Linked DNA regions of Callithrix jacchus. The protein of the gene in region 2 purifies or fractionates together with the protein of the main gene of each other region. This does not show direct contact. Links are inferred from orthologs where the notes say so. Each region holds a gene or a part of one and is shown on either strand. Other genes may lie near its edges.

Region 1 (4,610 bases), about 570 kb from region 2:
TGCTGTCTTGCCTCCAGGTACTCCCCGCTGGCTGAGCAGTTCTCCCACCAGTTCCCATCTCATGACCTGCCGTCTGTCCTTGCCAAGTTCTCCTTGCCAGTCTCCTTGTCAGAATTTAGGAATCCCCTGGCCCCCGCTGTGCAGGAGGTGAGTCACAGAAGCTCAGTGAGTCCAGAGTGGTAGATGCGTAGTGGATCGGGCACTACCTGCCTGGCTGTTGGTTCTGATCTGAGAGCTCTCAGCACTGGCACTAAGTGCTATGTGCCCAGCATGGCCCAAAAGGCAGCTGCCGGGCCGTCTGCAGACACTTGGCCAGTGACCCAACACGTGGGCGGTCATCCCCTCCCCATAGAGCCCACCCTTGCTGTGGCAGGCAGTTTTTAGGGTTAGAACTGAGTTAAGCTTGGCAGGAGAGTGCTTACCTCTTTGGGCCTACAGACCTGCGTTGTACCCCTTTGGGTCTGGGACTTCCTACAGACAAGGGTGCAAAGGTAGCTGTGTTTTCACTGGGCCAGGGCCTGACCCTCTGAGAGAGTTTAGCTTCTTCCTTCACTTTCGGCCATGGTTCAGGTGGCCACAGGTTCTGTGGGTATGAGTTCTGGGGCCACTAGTCCCCAGAATCTCCTCATCCAAGAGAGCCTAGAGAGGACCCTTGTGGGTCTGGGTCCGGGCAACAGGCAGGCAGGTTGGAAGCTAGGAGTGCAGGGGATAGGAAGCCTCGTGCAGGTCTGTGGGATGAACTGGTGCATCTGCATCTGCATCTGTAGCAGAGTCAGTGGCTTCCCATGTGGGCTGCAGGTGTCACAGCTGAGGTGGCTTTGACAGGAGCCAACGAGGCTCTGCCACCCTTCCCTCCACTGAGTTCTGGGCAGAGACCCAAGGCAGGGCCAGATAGGACAGGTGTCAGAGACAGACGAGCTGGGTGTTCTCAAGTCTTTGTTTTCAACAGCATTCGACTGAATAAGTGCCACATTTATTAGGTGAAACCAGTCTGTAAAGCCAAACCCTTTCTGTTCTCAACCTGTGAATAAGATTCTGGTTTTCCAGCTGCTTTAGACACCAGCCCTAAGAGAGTTCTTGGTGCGGTTTTCGTGGGGCCCTTGGTTTCTGGGAGCTGAGCTAGGTTGTACCTGCTGAATAAAAAGCACTCCCTGCACCCCTCCTCCTGGGGCAGAGCTGAGGGAGGACCTGCTGGTGCACCCATCCCAGAAGCCTCCCTTAGGGTGGCTTTTCCAGGCCATGACTGAGTGGTTGCTCCAGGCCTTGTCAAGGGGCCCAGGTTCTGCCTGGGCTCCAGTGCTGGGAAGCCCCTCTGTTTCATTTTTTAATTTTTATTTATTTATTTAATTTTTTTTTTTTTTGAGATGGAGTTTCATTCATTACCCAGGCTGGAGTGCAATGGCGCAATCTCGGCTCACCACAACCTCCGCCTCCTGGGTTCAAGCAATTCTCCTGCCTCAGCCTCCCGAGTAGCTGGGACTACAGGCGCGCACCACCATGCCCAGCTAATTTTTGTATTTTTAGTAGAGACTAAAAATACACCTTGTTGACCAGGATGGTCTTGATCTCTTGACCTCGTGATCCACCCACCTCGGCCTCCCAAAGTGCTGGGATTATAGGCGTGAGCCACTGTGCCTGGCCCTTCATTTTTAAAAAATGTATTTATTTTTTATTTCATTTTTGATTGCACTCCAGGGTAGAGTGCAATGGCACAATATTTGCTCACTGCAACCTCTGCCTCCCCAGTTCAAGTGATCTCTTGTCTCAGCCTCCCAAGTAGCTGGGATTACAGGTGTCCACCACCACGCCTGGCTAATTTTTTATATAAACGGCGTTTCACTGTGTTGCTGGTCTTGAACTCCTGACCTCAGGTGATCCACCTGCCTCATCCTCTCAAAGTGCTGGGATTACAGGCATGAGCTACTGTGCTCAGCTTTATTATTATTTTGATATAGAAACTTGCTCTCTTCTCTAGGCTGAATTGCAGTGGCATGATCTTGGCTTACTGCAACCTCTGCCTCCCGGGTTCAAATGATTCTCCTGCCTCAGCCTCCTGAGTAGTTGAGATTACAGGCGCCTGCCACCATGCATGGTTAATTTTTGTATTTTTAGTAGAGATGGGACTTCACCATGTTGGCAGGCCTGGTCTCGAACTCCTGACCTTAGATAATCTACCTGCCTCAGCCTCCCAAAGTGCTGGGATTATAGGCATGAGCTGCCGTGCCGGCCCCCTCTTTTATTTATTAAATTCATGTAAAATCTGGGTATCTTGCAGTCCTTTTGACCAGGTCTTCCTAGTTGCCTGGGGTACATCCCCCATTCCCATCCCCAGTTCCCCAGCCCACTCCCAGGAGGTGACTCTGGCCAGCAGCTCCTTGTGGACCCTCCCGGAGATTGGTAGACAGATGTGTATCTGATGACACTGATGCTGTCTCACACTGCTCGCTGCTCAGCATTTGTGTCTGGGCAGTACCCTCTCAAGGGGACTGGACTCGACCCCACACAAGGCTCCTCACTGTCAGCCCTACCTGCTAACGCAGAGACACTGGAGGGCCTGGCCGGGACATGCCTTCTCACGGTGGGGGCAGGGGGGCGGGGGGACTCCACCCCCAAGCACAGAGTCACTGGCCTCAGCTTCTTGTGGCTCCACTTGTGCTCAGGGTGGTCCTATCCAAGGAGAGGACTTTTTGCTCTTAGGCCACCTGCTCACTGCCTCTTTCTAAACAGTGTCTGGGGTTGTCTGGAGGTAGACTGGTTGGCTGGGTCCAACTGCAGGGCCAGTGGGCTGAAGGAGAGAGAAGAAGGCAGAAGGGCAGCTGCAGCAGCAGTGTGGGGGGTTTGCTCAGAGAAGGGGTCACAGGGACCTCCATATCTCAGGTCCCATATCTCGGCCAGACACTGGGCAGCCCAGGTGTGATCCAGATGTTCCCCCAGACCCTCTCCCTTCCTGGGAGGGTGAGCTGGCCTTGCAGAGCTGGCTGGCAGCTGGGGGCTCCCTTTCTGACGAGAGGGCCTTTCTGCCTGGGAGTCAGCACAGGGAGTATGCTGTGGCCATGTCTAGGGCTGTGGCTCTCTGATCCCCCAGGAAGGGGTTGGATTGGGGATGGGGACCAGCCTCACCTGCTGCCACCCACAGACCCAGCTCATACAGATGGTGGTGTGGATGCTGCAGCGCCGGCTCCTCATCCAGCTGCACACCTATGTCTGCTTGATGGCTTCACCCAGCGAGGAGGAGCCCCGCCTGCGAGAAGACGATGTCCCCTTCACTGCCCGGGTTGGCGGTCGAAGCCTCAGCACGCCCAACGCCCTCAGCTTTGGCTCCCCAAGTAAGGGTCCCCAGAGCATCAATCTGGAAGTCAGGGGAGACGCTTGGGAGGGGTGCCCAGGAGGCTCCACATGGGCACTGCTATGGGTGATGAAGGGCCTCCACACGGCAGCACACGCACATGCATGCCCCTCGTGTCCTCTGGGAGACGCCTCTCCTGTCTCCTAGCATCACCATGACTCTGAGGTGGCAGCTCTGCCTCTGGGCTCTTCAGCAGTTTTGCTAGAGTCAGGAGCAGCTCCCAGCCCACCAAATCAATGCTGGAATCTGTGCCCCAGCCAGGGATCCATGCGGGATCCACACCACGACTGGGACAGCTGACACCTTTGGGCCACCAGAAGAGCAGTCATGGCCAGTGTGGCTTGAGAGCAGCAGCCTGTTCGTAGGTCCCAGGTCCTCAGGCTTGGGGAAGGAAGTGGGTGGAAGACTCTGAAAGTCCTCCCCTGGCTGAGGTCTGGCTGTAGGTTTCATGCTTCATGTGAGGACACTGCCTGCCTGGTGTGCTTTGTCCTCCATCCTCGATGAGGGACAAATGGCCAGGCCCACCTCGGGGTATGTGTGAGGTATACATTACACCTCTGTTTTGTTTGCTTGAAGTTGCCCCCAGAGGGGAGACTGCCCATTTCCCAGGTCAGCCATGAGGGGCATGTGTCACACCCAGGAGGTGGGGCAGCAGCATGTGCTTACAGGCAGATGTTGCAGCTGGGGCACCAGGCAGGGGCCTTGTGGGAGTCACGGGTGTCACTGGAGGCTGGCTGCTGGGTCTGCCCTTGCTGTTCCCCTGGTGTCCTGGAATTCCACTTGGTGCTGCTGTCACCTGACCCCTGCCCCCCACAGCCAGCAGCGATGACATGACCCTCACCAGCCCCAGCATGGACAACTCCAGCGCAGAGCTGCTTCCCAGTGGGGACTCGCCACTGAACCAGAGGATGACAGAGAACCTGCTGGCCAGCCTGTCGGAGCATGAGCGTGCAGCCATCCTCAGTGTACCTGCAGCCCAGAACCCTGAGGACCTGCGCATGTTTGCCAGGTAGGTGCAGGTTGACCCGTTGGGACTGGGGCCACTTGGAGGGTCGGGGCAGGAAGTGGATAGGGATGTACCCAACAGGACCACCAAATCCACTGACAACACATGGGGCCCTGTTTCAGGTGGAGTCTACACTCAGGTGTGTAGGGGTAGGTGCCCCTGCCCAGGCATGGGGATGCAGCTTGTCACAAAGACCCCAGGCCGTGGGCCTGTTGTGCCTGTTTTTGGGAGTCTTATCTCCCCAGTACTTCTTAGATG
Region 2 (3,961 bases):
CTGCGACTGGCATCCCGAGGATAGGTGTGCCATGGGGGTGCAGGGGCAGCAGGCTGACAGGAGGCTCTCACTACCTCAGACCTGTGAGACAGTTGGGAGTAGCAGAGCTGGGGGGGGGTCCCCTTTCCACAGGAAAGGCCACTGAGGATTTGGGTGGGGCCTTCCCACAGGGGCTGGTTGGCCACAGGAGGGCGCGACAAGATGGTGAAGGTCTGGGACATGACCACGCACCGTGCCAAGGAGATGCACTGTGTGCAGACCATCGCGTCAGTGGCCCGTGTTAAGTGGCGGCCAGAGTGCCGCCACCACCTGGCCACATGCTCCATGATGGTCGACCACAACATCTACGTTTGGGACGTGCGCCGGCCCTTCGTGCCAGCTGCCATGTTTGAGGAGCACCGAGACGTCACCACGGGCATCGCCTGGCGCCACCCGCACGACCCCTCCTTCCTGCTGTCCGGCTCCAAGGACAGCTCACTGTGCCAGCACCTGTTCCGTGACGCCAGCCAGCCCGTGGAGCGCGCCAACCCTGAGGGCCTCTGCTACGGCCTCTTTGGGGACCTGGCCTTTGCCGCCAAGGAGAGCCTCGTGGCTGCTGAGTCGGGGCGCAAGCCCTACACTGGTGACCGGCGCCACCCCATCTTCTTTAAGCGCAAGCTGGACCCTGCCGAGCCCTTCGCAGGCCTTGCCTCCAGTGCCCTCAGCGTTTTTGAGACGGAGCCGGGTGGTGGCGCCATGCGCTGGTTTGTGGACACAGCTGAGCGTTACGCACTGGCCGGCCGGCCGCTGGCCGAGCTGTGTGACCACAACGCAAAGGTGGCTCGGGAGCTCGGCCGTGACCAGGTAGGGGGGTTCCCCTGCCAGCTGTCCTGCCCCCGACTTCAAGCTCCGCGATGGGCTCTGCCCAGTCGTACCAACAGCCCTTGCCCCAGTAGCTGAGGGTCAGGCTCCAGGGTGGCCAGACCCGGCACTGTTCTCTGCAGGGCGGAGTCTTGGGAGTCGTGTGGTCAAGCTCTCTGTTCCGCCCCCTTTGCTTCTAAGCTCTCCAGGCACTGGCAGCAGTGGACGTGTGAGCCGCTGCCCCGCCGTTCCCCACTGCCCAATTCCATTCCCTCTGTACTGCTGTAGGATGGAGATTGGGATTTTTCTCTTCCCATGAGCCTCGGCTTCCCTACCGGGGTGGGCCTAGACATTGGGTCTGTGGGGCAGCTGAATGCTGAGAGCTTGTGATTCTGTCCAGGCAGAGGGGGACCTGCATGGGGTGCTGGGTGACCTGGACCCCCACAAGTGACCAGTGCCTGCCCCCAGGTGGCACAGACATGGACCATGCTGCGGACCATCTACTGCAGCCCGGGCCTGCTGCCTACCGCAAACCTCAGCCACAGCATGGGCAAGGGTGGCTCCTGTGGCCTGCAGCTCATGAACAGGTAGATGCCAGGGGTAGCTCTCCCCAGGGGCTTGGGCCGCTCAAGCCCACCTACCCATGGGCCTTTCCTGCCTTCAGTTTCAACCTGAAAGATATGGCCCCAGGTTTGGGCAGTGAGACCCGGCTGGACCGCAGCAAAGGAGACGCACGGAGCGACACGGTTCTGCTTGACTCCTCGGCCACACTCATCACCAATGAGGGTAGGCTGTGGTGGGTGGGGGTGCTGGTGGGAGTGGGGCGGGGGCATCCCACAGGAGCCTGAATGCCAGCCCAACTGTTGGGGCAGATAATGAGGAAACCGAGGGCAGCGACGTACCTGCTGACTACCTCCTGGGTGACGTGGAGGGCGAGGATGACGAGCTGTACCTGCTGGACCCAGAACACACTCACCGTAAGTGGGGTCGAGGCGGGGTCGGGTAGAGAAGTAGGTGGAGGACGGAGGTTCAGAGCCTTTGCTCACCTGGGCCTCCCAGCCGAGGAGCCCGAGTGCGTGCTGCCGCAGGAGGCCTTTCCACTGCGCCACGAGATTGTGGACACACCTCCCGGGCCCGAGCACCTGCAGGACAAGGCCGACTCCCCGCATGTGAGCGGCAGCGAGGCGGATGTGGCCTCCCTGGCTCCCGTGGACTCCTCCTTCTCGCTCCTGTCTGTCTCACACGCGCTGTACGACAGCCGCCTACCGCCCGACTTCTTCAGCATGCTGGTGCGGGACATGCTGCACTTCTATGCTGAGCAGGGCGACGTGCAGATGGCTGTGTCTGTGCTCATCGTCCTGGGTGAACGGGTGCGCAAGGACATCGACGAGCAGACCCAGGTGTGTGGTGGGCGGGGCCTCCTCCCTCCGAAGGCTTTGCCCTGCGCCCCGATTCCGACCGCCACGCGCTCCTTTCCCAGGAGCACTGGTACACCTCCTACATCGACCTGCTGCAGCGCTTCCGCCTGTGGAACGTGTCCAACGAGGTGGTCAAGCTGAGCACGAGCCGAGCCGTCAGCTGCCTCAACCAGGCCTCCACCACCCTGCATGTCAACTGCAGCCACTGCAAACGGCCCATGAGCAGCCGGGGCTGGGTCTGCGACAGGTGGGCAGTGGGGTCGGGAGGTGGGGAAGGGGCCTGCAGGCAGTGCAGGAGCCCCCGCTGAGGCGTCCGCCCTCCCGCCCGCCCCCAGGTGCCACCGCTGCGCCAGCATGTGCGCCGTCTGCCACCACGTTGTCAAGGGCCTGTTCGTGTGGTGCCAGGGCTGCAGCCACGGCGGCCACCTGCAGCACATCATGAAGTGGCTGGAAGGCAGCTCCCACTGCCCCGCGGGCTGCGGCCACCTCTGCGAGTACTCCTGAGCGTTTGCTAGGCTCTGGGGACCTGACCGCCCGGCCGGCCACGTGCAAAACCCCGCCTGGTCTTGGGCCCCAGACGGGCAGAGGCTGGAACTTGAAACCCCAATAAAGGAAGTGGAATCGCTGTCCGCGCGGGGGCTTGCAGTGTGCTCGCCGTGCAGCTGCTGGGCGGGGGCTCTCTCCGGGGCTGTCGCCATGGTAACCAGCGATGCCAATAGGCCTCTTCCGGGGCGGGGCAAAGGAGATCACTTCCGGAACCATCCGGGCACCCGGCGGTTGCCATGACGACGAGGTTGCGGCCAATGGCTGGCGGACGGGCCTGAGGTTCCCGGCGTGCAGCGCGGCTGCCTGAGGGCGGCGGGCTCATGGCGCCGGGGTCGTGGTTGCTCGCGCTCTGGGCGCTGGCGGCTCTGGTTCTACCCAGCTCGGGGGAGGAGGGCGACGGCGGGTGGTGAGCGGCCCGGGAGGGGCCGGGCGGGGGGTCTCGTGCGGCGGGTAGGGCGCGGGCTGACCGGGCTGTGCCCGCAGGCGCCGGGGCGGGCCGGGGGCCGCGGCCGAGGAGCAGCGCTGCACGGTGGAGCGCCGCGCCGACCTTACCTACGCCGAGTTCGTGCAGCAGTACGTGCGCCCCTGACCGCGGAGATCGCGCCCTGGTCACCCGCCCGCCTAAGGCGCCTTCCCCGAGCTCCCGCGAGTGTGGGGCGGGGGCGGCGAGGGTGGCGGTCGAGCCTGGGCGCGACTCTGCCCTTCCTTCCAGGTACGCGTTCGTCAGGCCCGTTATCCTGCAGGGACTCACGGACAACTCGGTGAGCGCGCGCCCGTCCCCGGACACCCTCGCGCGTGCTGGGCCCGGCCTCTAAGCCCCGCCCCCGCCCGCCCCCCCGCAGAGGTTCCGGGCCCTGTGCTCCCGCGACAGGTTGCTGGCGTCGTTCGGAGACAGAGTGGTTCGGCTGAGCACCGCCAACACCTACTCCTACCGGAAGGGTGAGCCGCCCCACCCCGGGCCCGCCTGCTTGCCAACGCCGCGACGGCTGCAGCAGCCGGTCTTGACCCGTCCCTTCCCTGCAGTGGACTTGCCCTTCCAGGAGTATGTGGAGCAGCTGCTGCACCCCCAGGACCCCACCTCCCTGGGCAATGGTGAGTCAGCCATGTATGGCGGTGTTGGGGCGGCGACACGCTTGGAGCCTCCCAGTGCCGGGATC

What was found. The genes of interacting proteins can lie anywhere in the genome.
Region 1: the proteins of WDR24 (region 2) and NPRL3 purify together in Homo sapiens (affinity purification with western blotting; 6 studies listed by BioGRID and IntAct, with this or other methods). This does not show direct contact. The link is inferred for Callithrix jacchus from reciprocal best matches to the Homo sapiens genes WDR24 and NPRL3.

The regions. Positions count from the first base shown.
Region 1 is NC_133513.1:2,370,187-2,374,796, reverse strand, and holds part of NPRL3 (GATOR1 complex protein NPRL3), read left to right. Parts: intron 1-17; coding exon 18-147; intron 148-3,136; coding exon 3,137-3,326; intron 3,327-4,162; coding exon 4,163-4,355; intron 4,356-4,610. UniProt on the Homo sapiens protein: As a component of the GATOR1 complex functions as an inhibitor of the amino acid-sensing branch of the mTORC1 pathway.
Region 2 is NC_133513.1:2,944,630-2,948,590, reverse strand, and holds the end of WDR24 (GATOR2 complex protein WDR24), read left to right. Parts: coding exon 1-24; intron 25-170; coding exon 171-843; intron 844-1,308; coding exon 1,309-1,427; intron 1,428-1,504; coding exon 1,505-1,626; intron 1,627-1,712; coding exon 1,713-1,817; intron 1,818-1,899; coding exon 1,900-2,240; intron 2,241-2,320; coding exon 2,321-2,505; intron 2,506-2,593; coding exon 2,594-2,762; 3' UTR 2,763-2,883; downstream 2,884-3,961. Other genes in the region: JMJD8 (jmjC domain-containing protein 8), read left to right, coding at 3,125-3,210, 3,288-3,377, 3,517-3,565, 3,647-3,896. UniProt on the Homo sapiens protein: Catalytic component of the GATOR2 complex, a multiprotein complex that acts as an activator of the amino acid-sensing branch of the mTORC1 signaling pathway. The GATOR2 complex indirectly activates mTORC1 through the inhibition of the GATOR1 subcomplex.